4 linked regions of the Caenorhabditis elegans genome follow. The protein of the gene in region 2 purifies or fractionates together with the protein of the main gene of each other region. This does not show direct contact. Each region holds a gene or a part of one and is shown on either strand. Other genes may lie near its edges. The genes, in order: slt-1, eva-1, unc-40 and madd-4.

Evidence for each region.
Region 1: the proteins of eva-1 (region 2) and slt-1 purify together in Caenorhabditis elegans (affinity purification with western blotting; 2 studies listed by BioGRID, with this or other methods). This does not show direct contact.
Region 3: the proteins of eva-1 (region 2) and unc-40 purify together in Caenorhabditis elegans (affinity purification with western blotting, with the first as the bait; one study listed by BioGRID). This does not show direct contact.
Region 4: the proteins of eva-1 (region 2) and madd-4 purify together in Caenorhabditis elegans (affinity purification with western blotting, with the first as the bait; one study listed by BioGRID). This does not show direct contact.

The regions. Positions count from the first base shown.
Region 1 is NC_003284.9:14,672,376-14,677,740, reverse strand, and holds the start of slt-1 (Slit homolog 1 protein), read right to left. Parts: upstream 3,414-5,365; 5' UTR 3,367-3,413; coding exon 3,221-3,366; intron 3,178-3,220; coding exon 3,106-3,177; intron 2,659-3,105; coding exon 2,587-2,658; intron 2,544-2,586; coding exon 2,472-2,543; intron 2,420-2,471; coding exon 2,321-2,419; intron 2,272-2,320; coding exon 2,164-2,271; intron 2,096-2,163; coding exon 1,951-2,095; intron 1,896-1,950; coding exon 1,735-1,895; intron 1,264-1,734; coding exon 1,192-1,263; intron 1,140-1,191; coding exon 1,068-1,139; intron 1,018-1,067; coding exon 638-1,017; intron 73-637; coding exon 1-72. UniProt on the Caenorhabditis elegans protein: Functions as a ligand for sax-3 receptor during larval development. Acts via the sax-3/Robo receptor to direct ventral axon guidance and guidance at the midline during embryonic development.
Region 2 is NC_003279.8:14,828,853-14,836,757, forward strand, and holds eva-1 (SUEL-type lectin domain-containing protein), read right to left. Parts: upstream 5,970-7,905; coding exon 5,846-5,969; intron 4,016-5,845; coding exon 3,989-4,015; exon of another isoform or gene 3,281-3,988; coding exon 3,178-3,280; intron 3,130-3,177; coding exon 2,997-3,129; intron 2,952-2,996; coding exon 2,672-2,951; intron 2,537-2,671; exon of another isoform or gene 2,419-2,536; intron 2,156-2,418; coding exon 2,030-2,155; intron 1,985-2,029; coding exon 1,917-1,984; intron 1,718-1,916; coding exon 1,588-1,717; intron 1,539-1,587; coding exon 1,413-1,538; intron 1,369-1,412; coding exon 1,192-1,368; intron 1,142-1,191; coding exon 1,023-1,141; downstream 1-1,022. UniProt on the Caenorhabditis elegans protein: Acts as a receptor for slt-1. Required for the guidance of the AVM pioneer axon to the ventral nerve cord.
Region 3 is NC_003279.8:5,687,901-5,693,532, forward strand, and holds the start of unc-40 (Netrin receptor unc-40), read right to left. Parts: upstream 3,604-5,632; 5' UTR 3,541-3,603; coding exon 3,522-3,540; intron 3,322-3,521; coding exon 3,238-3,321; intron 1,701-3,237; coding exon 1,520-1,700; intron 1-1,519. Other genes in the region: npp-7 (RanBP2-type domain-containing protein), read left to right, coding at 4,366-4,561, 4,636-4,796, 4,890-5,495.
Region 4 is NC_003279.8:8,938,767-8,944,217, forward strand, and holds the start of madd-4 (Protein madd-4), read right to left. Parts: upstream 3,522-5,451; 5' UTR 3,439-3,521; coding exon 3,325-3,438; intron 3,283-3,324; coding exon 3,121-3,282; intron 2,585-3,120; coding exon 2,468-2,584; intron 2,422-2,467; coding exon 2,310-2,421; intron 2,260-2,309; coding exon 2,058-2,259; intron 1,802-2,057; coding exon 1,796-1,801; intron 1,512-1,795; coding exon 1,373-1,511; intron 903-1,372; coding exon 703-902; intron 1-702. UniProt on the Caenorhabditis elegans protein: Component of an extracellular matrix cue that is involved in the guidance of dorsoventral midline migrations and in the specification of postsynaptic domains at neuromuscular junctions (NMJs).

The sequences.
Region 1 (5,365 bases), on a different chromosome or scaffold from region 2:
AATCACATTGAGTCGGACAAATTGAGTCGATAAAACAAGAGTCGGCGTACATGCTGACAAATGACTCGGAACCTGGAAATTGAGTTATATTGGATTCATTGTTTCCGAAATTCAAGGAAATAATTTGAAGTATTTTCCGGTGGTAGGACTGTTTGCTGGTTTACTAGAGATTCCGCAACATCTCAACTTTTGGGAAAATTTGTAGTCAGTTAAAAACTTTTTTTCAACGTAGGAGCTACGTTGAAATTTCAGATTGGCTACATGTGCAGTAAATGCAATATGCTCAAAAACTGGGTGCGAAACTTTGGTCAAACTTTGGGCTTTCATAGGAAGCATGAGCGGTTTCAGAGCCTGACGCCTGCCTCCAACCTGCAAACCTCACGTCAAAGGCTTGGTGTTTGCACCACATATGGCGAAAGGCGGTTCTTTCAAAGCGGCCGACAGTTTTCGGGTTTCGCGCAGAGTTATACAGGAGGCAAGGAAGGTGTTTTCGCGCCTGCATAAAAGCCTTGTTCAAAGCTTTGTGGCAAACTGTGTAGATTAGCGGTATTCTACGGGTTTATTTCATTTGTCTTATCTAATTGCGCAGATTCTGTTTAACTTTTTCAGGAAGCAACGCTCCTGCTTTTGATCTCACCTTTGCATTTGAACTTATTTGGCGGTAAAGTTGCAAATTTCTTTTTTCTCAGCCGTTTGGGTTGTTCACATCTTGCTCCACTTGTTTCAATATTCTTCTGTAAATTTATTTGCGCCAGCCATTGCAAATTGCAATCACAAATCAGTGGATTCTTGGCAAGATGCAGTGTACTCAAGCTGGTAAGATTTTGAAATGTTACTTCACTGATTGACTTGATATCGTTATCATATAATGACAACATGCTCAACTTCGGGACATGGTCAAATGTTCCCCTCCGAATGCACGTCAATTGATTGGCATTGAGGAGTAATAATTGTAAACTTCCAAGTCCCTCGAAAGTATCCGATTTCAAGTCGGTTATATTATTCCCGTAGAGCACTCTGGAATACAATTTGATGAGTTCGAACAAAAGTGACACCAATGAACTCACAATGTGTGCAGATTGTGAAGACCGAGAAACGCTTTCGGTTGGATTTCAGTGATTATATTTTTGCTCAGATCTCTGAAATCAGAAAGATGCAAAAACTGAAGACGCTAGATGAAAATAAACTTACAGTCGTGTCAAGTTCTTCAGATTTTTGAAGGAGTGAGAGGGAATTGATGAAATCTGATTTTGTTCGAGTCTTCTGAAACAAAAGAAAAATTTTCAGAACATTTTTTGACACTTCTTGGCACTCTTGGAAAGTTTACAGGTTCTCTTTTTGTTGTTGAGTCAATGTTTTTTTTTCTAAGACAATTAAATAGATAATATTGTTAACTTCCTAGAAATACGTTGTCTTGATGTAGTTTTAAGTTTTAAGAACGACGCTCAAAAACTTTAAGAGATTCTGCAACTTCTAACCAGATTAACAGCAACTTTTCGAAATTTTTAATTAAACGTAAAGCTATTTTCTTTAGAAAAAGTACTTTAAATTGGAATTTTTGAGCAATATGAATTTTGTAAATTTTCAAAAAAAAAAGCGTCACACATCTCTGATACTTTCAACACTTTAAAACAAAAATCACGGGAGGCTTCACAAAATAAAACCAAAAATTTCCCTATTTCATGTATAAGTTAACCTATTCAATTCATTTGAAAAAAATTTACAAGAACTTACATTTCTGTGGTAGACGGTGGAAGGTTTGTTGGTACGTATGTCAACCCGGAATCCCGACAATCTACAGTCGTTCCAGTGCACGTGCATGGTAGTGGACAAATTTCCGCAGTTTCGCAGGTTTTCTTATATCTACGTTTTCGGTTTCCGGAACACGTCATAAACTGAAAATTTGGAAAATATTTAACAACGTTTTTTTCCTTCAAAGTTAAAATTTACCTTGTCTTGGAGAATTTCTATCGAGGACCCTTGCAAGTTGAGTGGAGTTGCACAAACTGTTTTATTCTGCCCCTCTGCTTTTTCTAGCCATTTTCGCATCCATCTCAAACGGCAATCGCAATTCCAAGGATTATTGAAAAGGTCCCTTAAAAGCAAACTTCTTTAAACATTCTATGGTATGCTCTTTTTTGAAAACAAAAACAAGCAACTTACAATTGTCGGAATCTTGCATTTGAGGGCTCTTCAAATGTTGTTAATCGGTTTCCATTCAGTGTAAGTACTTCTAGAGACACCCAAGAAGAAATCACATTGTTCTCAAGACTAAAAGAAGAGAAAGGAAAATAGAATAGCCGGATTGAAAAAAACTTACCAGAAGATATGATTTTTATCCAAGTTCAAGACTTCCAAAAATTCAGGACCTTGTAGTTGTGCGTCAGAAACCACTGTTATGTCATTTTCACTCAAGTCTCTGAAAATGAAAATAATAACTAATTTGATTTTTTTTTGAAGAATAAACGTACAAGTGAGTAAGTTTCAGATTGTTCTGAAACACGTTATCTGGTAAATGGCGTATACGATTTCTGCTTAATCGCCTGAAAACTAGAGTTTATTGGTTTTCAAGACTACGAAACTTACAGCTTTTGAAGAAATACCAGAGAACTAAAACTTTGATTGTGAATAGTGACAATTTGATTGTCCATAAGTTGTCTGAAATTTAATATTTAATTGAAAAAAAACGGGTTGTTTTGTTTTATTTACTGTACTTCAAAGTGAAGGGCTGTGTTCTTGTTGCAAATATGAACCGACAAAAATATCGCAAAAATTGCTCTATTGAAATTGCGCCAAAAAAATTAATTTGAAGCCATGATGTTATACTAGACGTTAGTTGAGTTTTTTTCAGTTTTCCCAAACAAGATCTGATCTTAGGGATATTATCTCAAGTGTTCAAATGGTTCAACTTTAAAATTCGAGTGGTTTTAGGCTGTCCTATCACGGTTTGATCTACAAAAAATGCTGGAAATTTTGGCCCACAAAAAGTGACGTCAGAACGTTCTTAACCATGCGAAATCTGTTGAGAACCCTGCGTATCAACTCCCAACTAGACCTACGTAGATCAAACCAAAAAGGGACACTCTGACACCAAGTGAAACTTACAAAGCTTTTAAATTCATAAGACTGCTGAAATCGTTCGGTCCGATTTTGGTTATTTCATTGTCTTGTAGATCTCTGTAAACAACATTTATAATTTTTTCAACCATGGCAAACTAACAATCTAATTGTATCATTCGGGATATTTTGTGGAACTTCTGTGAGTTGTTGGCCAACACACGACACAGTTCGGTCCACGCACACGCATTCTGCCGGACACGTGGCACTTTCAGGTATAAGTAGAATAAATATGAAGCAAATCAGCATTCCGACATCCACAAATCCTTGGGGACAATGAAATTAGTAGTTCAGTTCTGCAAAATGAAGTTTAGACAAGTGGCGGGTGGTCCACTAATGTTTTATGAGATGTTTGTCTTGTCCTCCCATCCTGCCGGTCCATTAACACAACCTCGTGGAGACACGATTTATGTGTGGAATGGCGGTGGTTGTGAGGGAAAAAAGAGTTGGGATAGGGGTGGGTACGGACACGAAAACTTTCCGGGAAGGGTAGAAAAAGAGAAGCAGCAGAAAACTAGAAAGAGCGAATGTTTTAGTGTGATAATGAGACATTGGGATAGAAGACAAGTCCCACTTTCGTGCATCTTCCACACACCACTTAAACCAACACAAATGACAGATAAAAGAAGAGTTGTAGACTTGTGTGTGTGTGTGTGTGTGTGTGCCGGATGAGAATGAGAATGAAATGGGGTAGGCGGGTGACATTGAACACAATGATGATAAAGAGATTCTGTTCTCGTGTCTCGGAGCAAAACAATTGGATGGATGAGATAGCTATACTGATGGGTGTGTATACTAACTATTACCATGTGCACTTATTTAATATTCATCGGGAATGATAAAGTAGATGAGGAAGGGAAAATGTGCGAGGGTTCACACATTGGTTAGTCGTCTTAATACTTTATTAATCTCGTTGTTTGGATAATTAGCGAGAGAAACACAAGCGATATTGGGGGATTCAAAATTGTTTTAAAGGTGGAGTACCGAAATTTGAGACTTTGCTTTTTTAGACCAAAAGACTCCGAAACTACCAAATTTCGTAATGAGATGTTCAGAATGTTTTTCAAAAGAAAGTTATGGCCGCTTAAAGTGTTGAAAAAAAATGGTATATTTTTCAGCTAAAATCTCAAATTTTGGCAACTTTTTAGTTCGTTTATTGGGATGCTTTTTCGGTCGATGCGGGCACAAAATTGTATCATATTTGTGCCCGCATTGACCGAAAAACCATCCCAATTGACATAATTAAGGTAATTAATTGCGAAGACCTACACTAAAAAATGATCAACAAATAAAAATTAAGTTCCAGCCGCTGTGACACCGAAAAGTTGATAAAAGTTGAGATTTTAGCTGAAAATAGACACTTTTTTTCAAAAACGTTGAGCGGCCATAACAAAGTCTCAGATTTCGGTACTCCACATATAAAGAAAGGTACATGTAGTGCATGGCCGTGCTCCAAAAATATGAACTTTTGAGGAAATCCAAAGCAATGCCGCATGTTCAGATCCCTACAATGTTTTAATGCGAATAATTAAAACAAAATTATTATATAAAAAATGTAGAAAAAAAATTTTTTTTTGGTCGACTTCCAAAATTATGAGTGGCAAAAACTGTTTATTGTCATTTTATGACAGTAAATAAAAAAATTCAAAAAAAAACAATTTGAACATTTTTATTATAATATTTGGTCGTTTTGGGACCATAGGAATGGTTTTTAACAACTTCCCCACTGGCACTACATCACCTTTAAATACCTAACCTAACATTATGAATTACTCTTCATTTTTAATAAAAATTAATGGAAATATTAAATTTACGGTTCCTACCTAAATAAATGTTAAGGTATTTTTTCTCAGTAGTGCCATTTTAAGAAAAACAACAACCACTCATCAAAGTAACAGAACACATTTGGGAGAACAAAAAATAAGGGCGCGCTGCTTCATTTTTCCTATATAAATTGTCTCATATTACACGTTTGTTGAAAAGAGCTTTTGTTACTATTGCGAGAAAAAAATTGTAAAAGAAAAATTGTCAGTTCAGAGTGTTGTGGTTAGAAAAAAAATTGTGCAAAGGTATAAGAATAATGAATATATTTTAATTTTTTTAAACATCCAGAACAAGTGAAAAATAAACAAGTTGCAGTATATGTAATTGGGCAAATTAACATTTGCAAGAATTATGCACATTCTTCCAAATACCGTATTTCCTCTATTAGTATTGCACCCATTGTTTAACTTTTACAGCTCATATC
Region 2 (7,905 bases):
ATCGAAAAAGTTGACTATTTAACCGTTCAACATTAATGTTAAAATCTGAGATTGCAGTTGCACAAATATGCCTTTAAATTCAACTTATCCATATTATGAACATAGAGTGTTGGATTTCTTTGCACATGGAAATGAATTGCCTAGAAGAATGTATCAAGTTATTAACGGGGTTCTAGTCAAGGTAAGAAAAAGTTACATTGTTTTTAAGATTAGTATTTATTATACATAAGTTCCGAATTACAGATAGCTCCCTGTATCGTTTTACCCCTGCTCACCACGTTGCTTGCTATTGAACTGCGAAAAACTGAGAGAAATCGAATATCATCACGTGTTTCCACAAGAAACAAGTCGAGTTTTTCTGATTCATCCTGTATGTTCTCTAAAAGAAAGTTTCAGCTCGGAAAGAACGACGGTTCTAGTTATCATTGTGACTCTTTTGATATTCATAGCTTCACTGCCAACTGGCACCGCAACAGTTTTCTCATTCATCTACCCTGATCTGGGATTTTTGTGAGTGTTAAGACTATGTCTACCGAAAAACTACATGGTTTTTTGTTTCAGCTTCCTACCTATGAATCTTGACGCGGCATTACATTCTGTTCTGGCTCTGAATGGGTCTATAAATTGTTTTATTTTCTATGCAATGTCTATACAATACCGAACAACTGTAAAGCATATTTGGATAAAAGTCAATGTTGAAGGTAGAGTAGCAACTATCAGCAATGGATTGCATCGTCTTTAATTGATTCGAATATATCCTCGTCGGCAATGCCAGATATTTTAAGCAAGATACTGCCTTGCGATGCACCATGTTAAAATGAAGTGTTTTATTATTCTCAGTTGACGTGTAAATTCGCCCTGAATTTGCTAAAATGTGTCTATCAACTGAATCATTATTTGTGACTTTAAAATGTTTTACTGAAACAATTTTTATATCGAAAGCAATGATTTCCAACAATTAGAAGTGACTAGATGAACCCGTAGAAGTAAGACAAGAGTTATGGATGTGAGAGGAATTAGATTTAAAAATCATAGTGACTATAATGTGGATTGGATGTTGCTGCGGAACCCATCGAAAATCGGAGGAACTGCTCGTCTTCAATGTCTTGCATCATGTGCTGTGGAGTGATTGAGCCACCATCTAGAGGTATAGCGAAATTGCAATATATGTAAAGGTTGTAAAGTACTTACAATTACTTGACACCAATTTGCTAGTCTCCAGTGACCTTCTACTTCTGCTTCTCCTTGAGCTCCTCGAACTATCCTTGTTTGAGGAACACAGTCGAGTGATGATACACGCGGAGAGCACAACAATTGCAGCCATACTCACGGCTAACACAATACACATGACCGCCTTCTCTTTGTTTTCTGAAATCTAGGATGATTTTCTGAGAATTATTTGAAACTCATACCTTTAAAGAACTGAACAACTTGAAGAAGATCGTGCCCAACACCCACTAGGTTTGGTTCCACTCTTTCCGTTATTGGAGGAGGATCTTGCTTTTCCATTCGATACTCGTCATGGGTTACATAGGAAGCTACAAATTGAAAGTTATATAATATCAGTTTAGTGAAAAAAAGCGATACCATCGTTAGCAATTTGATGTACATCGGGATCCTTAGCCGGCTCACTATCCACCACTCTTTCCCACTGTGTCTTATCATTGACATCCTTGAAAAATCGTTCGTCATCCTGTTTTTGCATTGCGTCGGCTTCCTGAAAATTATTTTGAGAAACAGTTTTCAAAAACAGCGTGCCCTCTATTAATATGGCACTTCTGTTAGTTTTGCCCATCTAACAGAGTTGCGCCATCTTTTTTAAAAAAAGTATTGTATGATTTAATGATAGAGGAAATACTATTACTGAAGCGTATGCTGTTAAATTTTAATCGAAAATGTTAATTAACCGGACGGACCTTCAAATAAGTTTCCAATGAGGTCAGCTCGCCTTTGATGGCCTCCTCTGAGAATATCTCCTCGTTAACTGAAAATATTCTACATTATCCTTAAACTTGATCTGTTTTATTACCACAAACATAAACGACATGAAGATGCCCATGTCTGCAATGACCTTTTATGCCATCACTTTTTAGTGTGCACCCTTCCTTGGCGTGGCATTGACGAAGTACTTGAGGTAAGACGTCTGAGACGCATTCTGAAATTTTTTTGATTAAATAGTAAACGATAATTCTATTTTTCCTTCCACACTATAGTTTTTCAAAAAATTCGATACAATGAGAGTCTTGACATCTTTCCCATTTTCCGTCAATTCGTACCAAACGGAAATCCTACTTTAGTATTCACCCTTCTCGTGTGTTCCTCCTCCACCACCATCCCATTTCATTTTGAACCCAAAGCCCCGGATCTTCAGAAGACAATTGTCAGAGTGTTTTCTGGCTACGTCTCTTGCTAACCAGTACTATCTTACTTTTAGCTCATCGGGAGGCTCAATGGAATGGATAGAAGAAGAAGATGAGGCTAATTGGATGTGTGTCATCAACTCACAATGGGAAGAATGAGAACAATTGCGAAACAGTGAAAGTATCAGAAAAGAGGAAATAGAGAAAAGGTGAAGCACCTCAAGCTCTGCATTTTATCAGAAAGCATAATTTGTTTAATTGGTCTTTGTGGTTCTGTTTGACAAAATATCTTTAAAAACTTTTCAACTTACCATGTCTAATTTCGGTTTCGGGATCACATTGAGGCGATGTCTTCATTTGTGCGGAATACACAGCCAACCGTCTACCTTCCCTACACTCTAAACGAATCTCTGGACGAGGTGGATCAGTGGGCTTTGGAGTACAAAATGTTTCCTCATCGAAAGACATTGGAATGCAACCATATGCCATCTGAAGATATTTTGAAGTTGTTGGGCACGGATCATCTTCAAATGTGTTTGAATCTACGACAACTGTACATTTTCGGCGCTTATCGCAAAGTTCCGATATTCTCTGAAACTTATGATTTCAATTGACGAGTGTTTGGCATTGATTTACCGTATGAGCTTGTATCACATCACAAGTACTTGAGTGATGGATCATTGATAATGGATCTAGATTAGCTTCGGAATGCTTTCTTCCAGCCTGTGGAGGGCATAATTGGTTTTCTGGGACCACGCGGCCATAAAACCTGAAAACTTGTTGAATGAATCTAGGATAGATTGATAATTTTACAAACCCGGTTTGTACAGAAATCTGTGTATTTCTTGGGCAGCTTAACGTGATTCGTTCTCCATCGCAAGCTTGAACTCTATTGGATCGAAGTGACTCTCTGAGGATTCCTGCAAAAATGATTGTATTTTTGATTTTAAATTCCTCCGCAAAAATTTTTTAGAAAAAAGCGGTTCGTTTTCGTTTCGGTCCCTCTCGATCACACTCGCTGGTGTGAAGGTCACCAGGTACTAAAACTGAGAGTGACTGAGTAAACGGAGTGAATTAGTCGGTGTCAGCGTGCGAAAGAAAAGAGAGGTCATAAAATGGACCCCCATAAAGTTTTTGAAAAACGTCCGATACTTTGGGCATAAGTGTGTGTGAAAGTTTTGCGAAAAATGGAATAAACTGACCATGACTCCTTGTTGAACTATGAATTGCTATTAGTTTGAACAAAGTTACCATATTAAATTATTTCAGCACTTTCAAGTTTTGCCCTAAACAGCTAGCACAGTTTCGAATCTTCGAAGATACATCTTGTGAGCAAATAATAATGTTTATCGACAATAAGCAAAGCTTCACTTTTAATTTCCAAGCAAATCATTCCACCTTATCCTTTTTCAATTCAACTAGCAATTAGTAATATCTTGAACAACAGCAGCTGGCGGCTTGCTGATTCCTCTTTTTCCTTGATTTCTCTTTAAAAAACGACACCTAGCAATTAACAGAGAGGAGAACAGGCAATATCCAATCTGGCTTCTTAAGAAATAAGAAAGCATCAGTTCCAATTATGCGCTGTGCTTAGTGAACTGGAAAAAACAGCGGCATGCGAAACCTACCCAGGCGAGCCCGAACAAGTAGAGCTGCTGAAAATTATCGGTTTTGTGGGGTTGCAAATTTTCAGATAAACTTTTGTTTTGGAATATATATATATATAAATTTTCTTGTCGAATGCCGTAGTACATGACTTATTAAATATGTGCATCTTTCATTTGCTATGATATATATCTTTTTGCGCAAAATCGACTACATTAAAATAAATTTTTAGAATAAATTATTGGCATTTAGAGTTTGTTGGGTTATTTCTAAGGCTTAGTAAGTTTAGCAAGTAACTTTTGCGGTGTCCCTCCGCATTTTCCCACGTAAATTCAGCACAAGCTAAAGTTATGCTGCTTCAAAAGGCAGGTGTGCTCTCACGCAAAGAGAGCAACCGAGGAGGCATGTTCCGGTGGCAAATGGAAATGGGCTCGTATTTCAAGTATTGGAATGGATTGGAATTGCCAAAATGTTTATGTATTTCTACGGATCTGCTGCTGCCAATCAGAACAAAATAAGGAATTTGCCAAAATTACGTTCAATAAAATCTCAAGCTATAGTTAAACATTTTCTTTTCGTAATAACGTTCATGATTTGACATTTAGTTTCATTTGTTTTTTTTTTCTATTTCTCGTTTACCGCTGAGCTCTCTGCTCTCGCGGAAGCTGTCAATTGATACATAGCCATTAGCTCCCTGGGTTCTCAGCATGACCACGTAAAAACCCTCTCCGTGTGGTGATAATGTTGCTCTGAGAGCAGCGGGCGAGCTTTTCTCTTTTTACACACTCGACACGCATGTTGTGGGGGGCTCGGAAGCTGAATGAGCACTTTTTTACGGGAGGATTTCGAAATGTTTATTATTTTTACAAGGTGGTAGTAAAATTCGATTGCAACATCCCAACTTTGAAATTCTCAATAATTCTCGAAGATGATGTCCATTTTGTTTAGAGGAAGCTGAGTGGATACTCCTCTTCATCATCATCATGTTCATGTCATGACCCACTAGATATAGAAAAGAGACATTTGTTTATAACATTGTGCACTTAACTATGCTTATTACGCCTTCTGCTGCTATGCATCCGGAAAAGAGGAAGGCAACAGACCCCCCGGGTAAGGGATAAACGGGTGAAGGGGGACACACACTCACTTTATACAATTATGGAATTACGGGGGGCCTCTCTTGGAGCTAGAGCAGTAGAACGCAAGGGCGGAAAAGGAATTGTTGCTAATGGAGATCTTCGGAAAGGAAATGGAGGTTTCGAATTTTCGACGAACTCTATTTCATTGTACTTGAATTACTCTTATTCAAGCCCCTTGTTATTAAAGGTGGAGTAGCAACAGTGTGGAAAGTGTTAAAAAACTACTACAATGGTACCAAAATAACCGAAGATCATAATAAAACTTTCCAATATTTATTTGAACATATTTTATTTACTGTCAAAAAGTGACAATTACTGTTATTTCCACTCATAATTTTGGAAGTGGACCAGAATAATTTTTTTTTCCTGCATTTTTTATACTTTGATTTTGTTTTAATTATTTGTATCAAAAAGTTGTAGGGGTGGAAACATGCGACACATTGGATTTCCTCAAAAGCTCATATTTTTCAAAATTTTAATCATTATAAGTGTATTTAGACAATACCTTTAAGAAGATGAATTCAATACTAGAAGTTAGGAAATTTCTGACCTACAAATTTCAACTCATCATGCGAGGTATAATAATAGCTACGCAATAAAAATGACGGCGCGAATAGATCATCATCTTGATGAGTGATGAATGTGTTCGTTTAGCGATAGGTTTCTACTTCAAAAAACGCCTTTCAAAAGGAAGAAGGCTGGGAAAGTATAAGTTTCAAGTAGAAAAAAAAAAAAACAAACCTTCGATTGGATTAACTTCATGATGATGTGATCCACCAATAAATCCGCTTTTCAATTTACCATCAGTTACGATAATTCCAAACCAAAATAAGAGCAAAACCGGGGAAACTATATGCATATTCATGACAATTCACATGGGAAGCTGTAAAATTATTTTTAACTCCTTGGAAAAGTTAAATAAAAGTATGACAATAACAATATGAGAACAAAAATCACATAGGTTAGCTGTCAGCCTTGACGAAAAGAAAACGGGACACTCTGAAGAAGCAGAGGGACATGCAAAAAGGGGGTGGGGTTTCCCAAGCCACGCCTCGTTGCCGAAACTGAACTGAGAGAACGATAATCATATTTGAAGGTGTCAAAAACGGTTGTCAACAACAAAAAATGGAGAAAAGGAGATCAGTTGACTACTCTCCTCCCGGAGCACCGCCTTGATGTTGCAGGTGTTGGGAAGATATTTGGGGGAGAGGCAACTGGGAGGAGGGGACAAATTGTTGTGAGTGTAGTACACACCCTATTGCTGTTGTACACAATAAAATCGAATGGAATGCACATTTCGGAGAAGATCAGCAAAAAGTTGGTTACTAGGCAAGGATAAGAATAAGGGGTGTGTGGCAAATATGCCGAAGTTGCCGAGCTCGGCAAGTTTGGAAATTTGTCGCACACATGAAAAATGTTTAATACACATTTTGTACAAAGTTAGATATAAAACCAATATACTTATTTTTTGGGGGAAAATGTCAAATTATCCTACTCACCAATTTCTTTTCTAATAATAATTACAAATTCATCAATTACAAAACTCCTCTATTGTTCTCCCTAATTTCATGTACACCTGCCCATAGTCCCGCAAATTATTAGACTTCAGCGTGAGAAACTGAAAAACCAAGTTGCTTTCGGTGCCCAGCAGTACAACAAAAGCCTAATCGCCCCAGGCGGAGCATGGGGATGAGCTAACCTTTTTCGCCCTTTAGTGGTGTACTCATCCTTTGAAATATGTAGTACAGAGATGAACATCATGACAATAGTCAATTAGTATGCAAATGAGAGTAAGTACTTGAGAATAGTGAGGAAAGTGAGGCATAATCTATGTATTGACCAGAATATATTTTAGCTAGTGTAAAAGAGTATTAAATAACTGTTAATAAGATACATGGAAATTAAATTCAGAATTTCAAATATTTTGGACTTTTTATAATGAAAATACCATTCTGCCATAATGGTTGAATAAAATTGGTTATTAGTCCTTGTTCCTTAAAACCATAGGAAATCCAAAATCATATAGTAAGCATTCGTGAAGGTAATCCGTTGCGCTCTTTGTTGTTCGATTCCCTTTTCCCTTCCCCCTCACCCATTCCATTTTCTATTCAAAAAGTGGTAATCGGATTTTCAGACACATGCCGACGATTCAGGAGAAAACGGCTTTATGAATGAAAAAGAAACGCACCGCCGCCGTGCATTTTAGTCTCTGAGCTCACAAGTGTTGGCTGCAAAGGAGACGGGAAACGGCGATGAGAATAGAAGTTTAAATGTAAAATAAAATAAAAGAAGGGAATGTGAATGACAAGTGTGCTCTTGTCAATATCAGATGTTATTCTTAAAATATAATTTTTTTTGAAAACCAAAAACAAACGCATGTATTTTAAAAAATCTGCATAAACATCCATATCAGGGGTGGGCGGCAATTGCCGTTCTGCAAATCAGCAAATTGCCGGATTGCCAATTTGCCGGAAATTTTCAATTCCGGCAAAATGCCGTTTGCCGGAAATGTTTAGAGGGATTTTTTTATAATTGGGAAACACTTAAAACTGTACCTTTTTGAAATTTTTTCCGTTTTCTTTAGATATTTTCATAGAATTCGCTTACTTTTCAAAAAAGGCGTAGGGACATTCATAGGATGCGTACAATTTTTCCCATTGAAATTGAAGTTCTGGAATTTCCGAAAAAAAATGTAGAAAACCACAATTTGCCGAAAAGTTTCGGCAAATTCGGCAAATTGGCAATTTGCAAGAAGTTTTCAATTTTTTCGGCACATTGCCGATTTGCCGTCCACCCCTGAT
Region 3 (5,632 bases), 9.1 Mb from region 2:
CCAGTTTCCATTCATACTTTGATGATTCATTTGTATTGAATGAAATTAAAACTGCAAAAATTGTTCAATGCCATTTGCATAGTCTTCAACAGAACCTTGAGCCTGTCAATCAATCGTCTTGACGACATCCACCCATCGTTTCTCAATTTCGATCGAATCACCCACAGTCGCCTCTGATTAATGACCATGACAACAGAAGAACGACTACAGGCCCGGCAAAGACAGCTTCAGGAAAACAATTGTTGACCTAATATTACCTAGCTCTAATGCCAGAATAATAATGGTGACATGGCATTATAGTAGGAGGAGATACATGACAAATGGCAGGAAATTGTCGCGGATACGTCTTTGGCGGGTGGTCTACTTCTGTTGAATGTTGTGAAGGCGAAAATAGTATCTGGTTACACAATATATAGATACTTTGTAAGCTTAAACCAACAACTTTAATATTAACAGAATCTTAAAGTGGTAATTTCAAAGCAAGGAAATTGAAAAATTGGAACATATAGTTAATTGTGTGAACTTTTTTGATTCCAATGTGTTGATTCTGTTCTGATTGTACTTTCGGTTTTAAGCTTAATAACTTTCGGTCTATTTCCGGCAAATTTCATAACATTTCAGTGGCCATTGGAAACTAAAACAACTACAAGTTATGAAATATGCAGAAAAACAATTTCTTGCACAACAAAAGCTTCTCAACAATAGACTCCAATCCTCTCGGTCAAAAGTGTCCTTCCTATGCACATATGCATGAATAAGCCAGGACGAAATTTTATATGTGCATAGAAAGACACATGTAAAAGTCACTACTTCCACTCGCTTGCATGCTCTTGAAGGGATTAGGAATAGAAGAAGGAGAAGAAACAAGTGTATATACACACATTCCGATAGAACGGAGATACACCATCTAAATGAGTTATATGTCTCAATGTCATTTGCATATTTTCGAAACTTTGACGAGAATCCACAAAGGAGTCCTTGTGAAGAATGTGAGCATCCGATTTTATTGGTGAAATAAGTTAAGAGTGTTCAAACAACCATATACTTGGAAAGAAGGTTAAAGATTACAAGATAGCACAATTGATATCTTTTTTTTAACGAAAAAGTCAGCTTCAACCCAATTTAAAAGTGTGAGCTTTTTCTACCGAGGTTAAAAGTGCAGTAGGGATATTGTTTAAAACTGATTTTATACTCAAAATGTCCAAATATCGTAACAAAAATTTCAAAATATTTTGACATGTTTTTTGAAATCATAATTTTGGAAGTCGATCAAAAAAATGTTTTTTCTCTACTAGTTTCATATTTTAATTATGTTTCAATTTTTCGTATGTAAAAATTCTAGGAGTTCGCCTATAACAATTACCTAAAAGTCCACATTTTTGCAAAATTTGCCAAACGAATGACGGTGAATATTGAAAAATCTAATTTTTTTTAAAAACTATTATAAGTGTATTGACACTGAACATCAATTTAAATCGAAAAAATTTTAAACCGAACAAATAGTTGTAAAAAAACTCACATTCTAGAAGATGTCCGTTCACTGAGCAACACACCATCACGTTTCCATTCAATTCGGACATCGTGTACAAGTCTCTCATGAGCCAGAACATAACTACATTCTAATAAATGAGACGATGATTCCATAACAGTCACATTCCGTCGTGGTTCCATTACGAATTGAAAGCCAAGATTCCGAGCATCTGAAAATAAGGTTTTATAAAGGATTTCCTTCAGAAAGTCATTCGTATTGTTTTTTTTATCGAGAATCTTATGACCATTTATATTCCGAGAAAGGTTTACGAAACGTATACTATTATAATAATAACCATTCATTTTTCTTCCTCAGTCATTATTCCATACGTTCTCACATGCTCGATAAATTCTTTTGTGATACATGCGGCATCGTAGAACCTTTATTTTATGAATTCACGGAAAAAAATGCAGTTAAAAACCGAAAAAGTCCTTATCAATTGGGGAATACTGTAAAATGCCACTTATCGCGTCTAATTTTTTTGTTGATATTTTTCTGTACCTTACTAGTTAAACTAAATTATCCTTATTTTTTTCCAGAATTAAAACATATTTTCACAACTGATTTATTATTTTGTAGCTTTCTCAGTCTTCAACCTTGACCATTCCGAAATAACAATAAACCCAAAGCGTCCTTCTTTCTCTTCCGCCGCTCAAAAATTGGAGCCAATTAGTTCACATTTTCGTAAATGTTTAGAAACAGAACTTTGCTACTCATCAATAAGAAATCATCATCATTTAAATGATGAATGAATGTATTCCCGGAGCATTATGCAATCAAGGGAACACCATCAACTGAAGACCCGTGTCCCTCATATTGCCTCATCCATCAATTGAAATCGAAAGGGGATGGAAGAGAAAGATTTGTGTGGTGGAAGCTAAAGAAGATGATGGCATTTCGTTTTGTGTGTGTGTGTTTGTGTCACAATTCATTCCAAGAGTAAGAAGAAAAGAGAGAGAGAAGACTTCATGTGGAACCATTGGGACCCACACACACAATAATGAAATGAACGAATCTGGTGGATTTTGTGTAGAGATTACAATCTTTCGAACATCAAACGCCTAGAGAATCTGGGGAATTGAGCTATCCACTTTTGGTTTGTAGTGAAAAATGCTACAATTTGGCGTCAAGTTTTCTTTAAAGGTGGTACCCACCGTGGGGTAGTGAAATAAGGCCCCGAGTGACGGAATGAGGCTTCTCAAAAGCGGAGTCAAAATTAACTAAAATTTTAATTTTTCCCTAAACCGCCATAATTTAGAAAACGTTCAAGATGTCTCTCTTCTGGGGACAAAAAAATCGCTGCTCCATCTTTAAGGTGTGAAGGAACTAAAAGATTGCTGAACAACTCTGCTAGATCGGAACTCGAAAATTGAGAATAATTTTGAAAGAAGGTTTTTTCAAAGTAAAACCATTAATTCGACGATAAACTAAGTGTTTTATAGGTAAGAGTATTAAAAAAAACGTAACTTTTCTTGGATTTGTATTATTTTTATGGAGTCAATTTTTTTTAAAAATAGCCACAAGGTAGTTCAGTGCCAAGTATTGACTTTAAGATGATTTTTATTTATATTTTTCTATTTTCAAAATTCCATTCTTGAATCGATAAATTATGTTGCCGGTGACTGACACCTTGACAGAATGCCAGATGGTCATCTTCCTTCCCCCATTTTAATATATTTTTGAATTCAAATGTGAAAAACTCTCACCATTATCAATCGATCGACGATGATGTTTCCGTGTTGTGGCATGAGTAGATGACAGATAAACTGTCAGAATTATAAGAATGAAACCTGAAAATTATAAATAGTAATGAAGTTTTATTTAATTTCCTTTTGTTTTCTTTCAGAGGTTCGGGTTTAGATACTTCGTTTACTACGAAATTATAGGATTTTAATTTTATTTGTATCAACACAAAAGTGATAACAACAATATTTAAAACTTTTCCACGGAGAAATTATTAAAATTGATAAGATAAAAAGATGGAACTCACCGAAATGTCGCAAAATCATTTCTACTGAATGAATTAAATAACTTCTGTCGAATTATCGCATTCTATTGGTGATGCAGAGGGTCTGAAATAAATAATGTTTTTATTTACCTTTGGATTTTTTGAACACATTTTTTGAACACAGAAAAAAAGATGGAAAAGAGGTCGTTAAAAATAATTTTGAATAGAAAATAAATATATTTAACGGAAAAAGAGTCAAAAACAGGGTCGAACGTCGTCAAAAGAGCTCCAGAAGTGTCCAGCTGAAGGGGTGTGGCCTTGTGGAATGGACACTCTCTCGTTTCTCTGCACCCTCTTCATGTTGTTAATGGAAGGATAACTGTCTGCACTCTAACCTCTCAAATGTCGTTGAAAGCGTCGCGTATGCGTCGCGTGTGCGCACTCGAAAATTTCTTTTTAATCGTCTTCGCGCCATTTGCGATTTTAAATTCCTTTATTGATTTTTAATGTAATTTACACTTCTTTCCTTCGAAAATTCAATGTTGGTAAAAGGTTTTTTGCCTTAAAAATATATCAAGTTTAATGCTTAATGCTGCGTTTACTGGCGCGGCCTAAATTTAAACATTTACGATTTTGAATGATTTCTGTAGTTTTGACCTGTGTTATCGATCAATAATTCGGAATTTTTACCAAAACATATTAGGTGCATTTGTCATGTTCTTTTGGTACTTCCAGTAGTTCATTTAGGCGTTTCAAAAGTATTTCGAAAAGTGTCGTTTTTGAAGAATTTTATTTTATCGAGAATTTCTGACACGGCGCAGAAAAATTTCTTCAGTCTCTCTCAGCTTTAGTCTCAATTACGAAACAACTTTTTTCTATTTCAGAAATGTCCGATAAATCCGGAGGGTTTTTCTCATCGGTTGGCCGCTTCTTTTCTGTTGGAGCTAGTGCCACTAAAAGCAAAGACGGCGATAAGTCGAATGATGAAGGTACATCCAATTCGTCTTCAAAATCGTCTCCTTCTGCGTCTCCAGCATTGAAAAATATATTATCCGTAGATAATGAAGCTAAAATAGCTTCAGGTAAGTTTAATCACATTGACTTTCATATCAGTACATGGCACTAGAATTTCAACTCATTATTTTTTAAATTCCAGATGAAACTTCAGTGAATACCTCACAAAACCATCGCATCGGATCACGTCTTCGATACCTCAGTCCGACTGCATTGGATCGGCGTACGAGTGCATCCAATGGCTTAGAGATCGATGTGGACGCTGTTCCAGATATTTTCTTCAGCACTCCTGCGGTTTCCACGGTAAATTTTTAAAGTTGTCTTTTTATTAATGTGTTTTCACAGAAAAATTAGATTAAACCTGTTGATAAATGCTATCGAAATATTTTTTTCCAGAATCGCAAACGTCAACTGACAGAGCTCGACAAGCAGATTCTACCACAATCGTTTCGAAGTGAGAGTGTGAAACGAAGTCGATTCCTGAACAGATCATTACTGGAACCAACTCTTAATAGTTCAATGAATAATGAGAGGAAAATGGATATGACTTGGTGTGGAGAGTTAACTGCTAATCATTCTCCTGCTTCATCTATCACAAATTTCTCACTTTTGAGCCGACGAAGTGGAGCAACTACCAACGGGTCATTAAGTACAAGAACTCAAGAAATTTTCAAAAAGCTTGAAGGTGCAAATACACCCGCGAAAGAAGTTCAGAGAATGTCAATGCTTCGAGCTGGCATTGCTCGACCAGAAAAATGGGGATCGTTTAGCGAGAGCAAGGTTCCAAATGGTTCAGCAACTGGCACACCACCACCTCCATTGAAAAAAGCTGGAGACGCAATTCCATCTCGTATACAGCTCATATCAAAGACTATGGGAATGTCCGCTCGACGTGCTCCTTATTGGACGGATTTAACTAGGAAAAGAACATCGTCGAAAAATGGAGACACTGGATCTTCTGATTCAATGAAATCATTGAACGGAAACTTTGCGACTGCAGAGGTAACCTGGATTTTAAACACTTGAAAAAAAATGATACAAGAATTATGAAAAAGTTTTTCTGGTCAAATTTTCTAAAATTAGACACGAGATTATCACAGTCTAGTATTTATTTTTAAACGTTTCATTGGGAAATTTTC
Region 4 (5,451 bases), 5.9 Mb from region 2:
TTCCACTCCGCTCATCCTTTTACAGCTTAAAGTTAAGACGAGTAGTAATTTTTCTTACTCTTCCCTATTTTCATCCCTTTTTTCAAATCTTTCTCACTCTTGGAATCAAGTACAAGTACAACTACGAAAATGGAGTCATCTCTACAAAGAAAGAGTTCTTTAATACACTGAATTTGTAATGGAAGACAAAAAGGAAGAAGTTTAGTAGGAATGTGATTGATGAGAAATTCCGAAAAAGAGTACAAATGGACAAAATGTGTATATTGAAGAAACTGTTAGTTGTGTGTAGAAGGGGGATTGCTCAACTTACTCGTTTTACATCGAACTTTTAGACATGAATAGTAAAGCTTCGATTAAAAAATAATTATGTAGATCTGAAATTCTTTTCTAGACTATACAATTTTTAAATAATATAACAGCAAGTATTTTCATTTAGCAAGTACCAAACGAAACTTGTTGAGTTTGTCGAGCTTGTAAAATTTGCTTCGTACACTAATTTTGGCAAGCTGTTAACTTTTATGTAGGCTAGAATTAAATGAAAAATACCATTTTTTGGAAGTTGAATTTTTTTTTAATGTAAAAACCAGCAATTTCAGTTTCAAAAAAGTTGTTGCAAATCTCATCATTTTACGCTCACACATTCTACCTAATGATTTGGCGTAAAGTGCCTTTACCAATTCTCCACTTCTTAATGGAGCTCACCTATTTGTTGCAATACTACATGGTATTCCAGCATAACATGTTGTCTCTTGTCTTGGACGTCCTCCTTCATCACAATCTGAACCTCCAACACATGCCACGTGACGTCGTCGCACTCCTTGGCCACACGAAGCTGTACATTTTGACCATTTTCCGGCTTCCCATCGTCCACATGATGTTGATACACAGTTTTCTTCGGCTGCCTGAAAGTTATCATTCAGGAAAGTTTTAGAGAGATTTCTAAATTATTTCTGAAACATGCAAGTAAACAAAAAAATTTAGGAAAGTTGTTTTTTAAAAAGGCAGATGATAACGCTAAGAAATCTGGAAAATTTGCGTCTGTAACAGAAAAACAATATATACAATTATAGTGGCAAGGCTTTTAAACGTTTTCGCCCAAACAATATATTTTTTGGAAAAATACTTGAAGTCAAATCTGGAGTAGCGTATTCTTTATACTGACCCTATAGGCCGAAATTCAAAAAAAGACCTCTTAAAAAAACAATTTTTCAACAAATTTTTTAACCGCCATAAAAATGTTTCTGAAAATTTCAAGAGGTGTTATTATTAAAATTGGTGTTTTGAAAACATTTTGAGAATGCTCCGCTCAAGCATTAATAAGAAGATCTCTACTTAACATCTGAAACAATGGCTAAAACTTTTAACAACTAACCGGTCTTGTTCCATTTTCACAGAAGGTATCAGGAACATGTACTGTAACATTATGCGCCGTCTGTACACAGTAAACCTCTCTTTTTCTTGTCCCTTCACCACAATGTGGTACACATTCTGTCCAGTCTGCAGCCATCCATCTGCAAGTTTTCAGTTCATTACTTCAAAATCCATAAATATTCAAATTGACACACAGCGTCTAATAAAGCAAAGAGATGTCAGTCTCAAATTATCTAAAAATTGAACTTAGCCATTCCTAAACGATAAAAATATTTATCGAGAAAATTCAAATAGAAGTGAATGTGATATAGAAAACAAAAATAAATTGAGAAAAAATAAAAAATCAATAATCCCCGTCATTCTTATGGGGCACACTCTTTCAGCTTACCACACCCTGATTTGGGATCTTTTTGGAAAAACTCACCGGCATCTGAAATTATTAATTAAAATCAAATTAGCAAATCTAATTTAGGAAACGATATAAAGAATATTTCTTGAAAAAGGAAATTGGATATTCAAAAACAATTCAAATTATTAAAATACAAAAGTTAACAGAAATTTGAGTTCGGTTTTTTGTTTTTTAGAGGTTTGTGCTTTTCAAAAAGTACAGACAACAACTAGAATTTAAAACTATTTACGAAACTATGCACTTAAGCATAAATATAAAATAATTTAAAATTTCAAACCTTGAAGGGCAAATCAGCATTGGGCATGGTCTTGCTTCAACTTTCGGTCTCAATTTATCAGCACATAACTTTTCAGGAACAACTCTTCCAGTTATTGCATTTACACATACAACAATTGGTTGACTAGTTGAAGCAATTGAACGTCCAGCACCTGACCAGTCAACTATATCATCACAATTTGAAGCGCATGCAGTGTATTCTTCTGGAAATCTTAGTGTTTTGAGTGATTGTTGTAAATCTTTAAAATTCTACCGGAAACTTTCCAAATGAACTTTCCATTGTCACACGTATCCCCTCGTCCTCCACATACTCCACAGGCATCAAATCGAAAAGATGAACTAATCAATCCGTCACAGCCAACGATCTGAAATTTGGGGAAAATAATAATTAAAACAATTATATTTAGTAACCTGACAAGACCCTTTACTGCAGACAGCTCTACTTGTTGCGGCCTGACACGGCGTTCCATCATCAACTCTCCAAAGAAAATTTGCACCAGTTAAGCGTGATCGGCATACCACTTCGCACTGAATTTTAGTTCTTATTTTTTCACTTATAGGTGCTTGAAAACTGTTCATGTATGATTCACAAACTTTTCAAAAAAAATTCAAACTTTTCAACAATTATTTGGCTTTTTTAAATCTACACTTGAAAACTCAGTTTTCCGCATTTTTTAAAGATTGTTTATATTTAAACACTCTAGGGATTCAAACCTGCAGTACAACTCGAAATTTCTCAGGAAGTCCACATTTTTGGAAAATTTGGAAATTTACCACAACTTTTACAAAATTGTTAGAATGTTATGTATCATGATATGTGGATATTATTGAAATTTAGACCGTTAAAAAATTAATAGTTTGAGAATCCGAAATTTTTTTTTCGACATTCATAAAAAATTGAGAAATCGAAAAAACAACACTCTTGCTGCAGGGCTGAACGTTTTTGCGTTTTTGGTTATTCGGTACATTTGTCCAAATTATTTTTTGACTACTACTACAAAAACTTTTTTTAAATAAATGTTTCTTCACAAGAAAACATTATTTTGAAAGTGGTTCATACATACCTGTCCCCTGGAGACTATTTCCTCTCCTCCACATATTGTATCCCTAGCTAATCTAGATTTTGACTCGCAAGTTTTTTGAGCACAAACTTTGAATCGAACTGATTCTCCTGAGCATTTTGATGTCAAACAACGTCGTAACTGACGAGAAACTCCGCCACCACACTGAAAATTTTTTTTTTCTGAATAGCTTCTCTGTCCGATTACCGTTTTAGTACACGAACTCCAAGGACTCCATGCCGCCCAACTAAGAGCATCCACGTGGAAACTCGCAATAAGCAAGTAAAATAGTAAAAATACTACGGTATATGAACACTTCATTTTCATTCATTTTACACTTTGTTTCATTGTTTTTTTTCCTTTTTTTGTGTAAAAATTAACAAACGCTTGAATTGTCCTTGGCTGCAAATATTTTTTTGGAAGTTTTATAAAAAGAAAATATACAGATGCCGGAACTTGAAGAAAATATTCGAATTTCAAATTACCAGTTAGAAGAGAAAGAATGAAATAGAGATAAATGTATTAAAAGATTTATGTGGGCTTCAACTATTTTTTGGATAGGAAAATTAGAGGGTTCGAAGAAATAGTTATAGAAGTTTTCCACTTTACAATAGCACAGGTGATTCGCCGTTTGTAAAATACTTATGACCTCCAATATTTTAGATGCATTTTGCAAATCGCGAATTTCGCCGCGGGACCATTAACATTTTAGCAGTATTTTGGTAATCGCGACTCTCGGTGATCGCAATTTGCACAATATTTGCGATTTTGCAAGTATTTTACTATATCGCTGGTGCCTCTTGTAGAAGCGCGCGAACTACATTTCATAAGTATTTTAAAACCCGCGAATCACCTGTGAGTTGGTTGAGCCAAATTATAGCACTTTACCTCTGATTAAAACAAAAAGAAATTTAATTAAAAAGAGTAGCTGTAGAGAAAAAAAACATTAACGTAAACTAAGTAAGTGGGCCAACAATCAACAAAAAAAAGCAAGAAATTACAATAAATATTTGGCAAAATTAGTTTGAATTCGTAGAAATTTACTCTCCTATGAACATGTGGTTTCTCAACCCATTCCAACATTTTTTAGTAATTATTTCTAAAATTAGCAATTCATTGATAAGTCGTGTTGAGTAACTCCTAGACAAAAGTTTTTGATAGGAAGCAACAAGGCGAATGGCGAGCCGGGATAGAGGTAGTAACAAAATTTATTCAATGTACTCAAAATTATCTGAAAGAAACAGGCTAAATTTACCTGGAATATATGCCAAATTTTCCAGTTTAGTAATTTATTACTCGTTTTTTTTTTTGGAATTTAGGTACCATCTTAGTCGATGGAACACAAGTTTTGTAATTTTTTTTTAATTTTGAACAACAACTACGTTATTGAAAGCTTTTTGAGGAGTCTCTTGGAGAAGTTTTATTCGTTTAGACCATGATGCAAATCAATTCAAAAACTTTTTAATCAATTCAAAAACTCCACTACTTATTATATGAAAGTTACAAATATTGCAATGGTTAAACTTCGTTGCTCAGGAGAGAAGAAAAGCCAAAAGAAGAGGAGAATGTAGGAAAAAATGTGGAAATCAAATCAAAAAGTGTCAAGGAACACGTTGGTATTCTGACTTCCAATAGACTCGGGCAGCACACTTGGGAAGGAAAAATGAAAATGGAAGAGAAAAAATATTCATGATACCAGGTTGTAATAAAAACTCCAAAAACGATAACTACAAACTTCAAAAAAAGAGCTGAGCAAAGGTTAACCAGTGTCTGACAAAACCCATTCTTTCAACCAGGCATAGGTATTCAATAGTAAACGTTTTTTTTTCTTTTTTTTTGAAAAATGCAGTAAATCGGAAAACTAGGGGCAATTCAAAATGGGAAATCGACGACCAATGGGATTTATGGAATGAGGACATGACTGGAAAAACAAAGAAGAACTGCAAAAAAAAAGAATTGAACTAATTTTTTGGAAAACACAACTATTATAACTGAAATATTTTTGCAGAAGACTATTGAACAAACTTGAAAAGTAAAAAAAAAGTGAGAATGAAAAATTGTAAAAAGAAAAAAGAAATAAAGACAATAGAGTCACCCCTACTTCTTTTCAGGTAACATATTCTGCGACTACAACTCATTTTCTTTTAAAATTTGAAGGGGAAGGTTTTTGAATTCTGACGTCTGAATTTTGGGTTTTTATGAAAACATAAACACATTTCTCACTAAACTCTGGTAAATCTATTCTGATCGACGCCGAAGTCAGGCTAATCGACGCAGGTACCCCCAGCTTCGGCATACGTCGACGTCGATTAGAAAATTGTCTAAAATCGACCT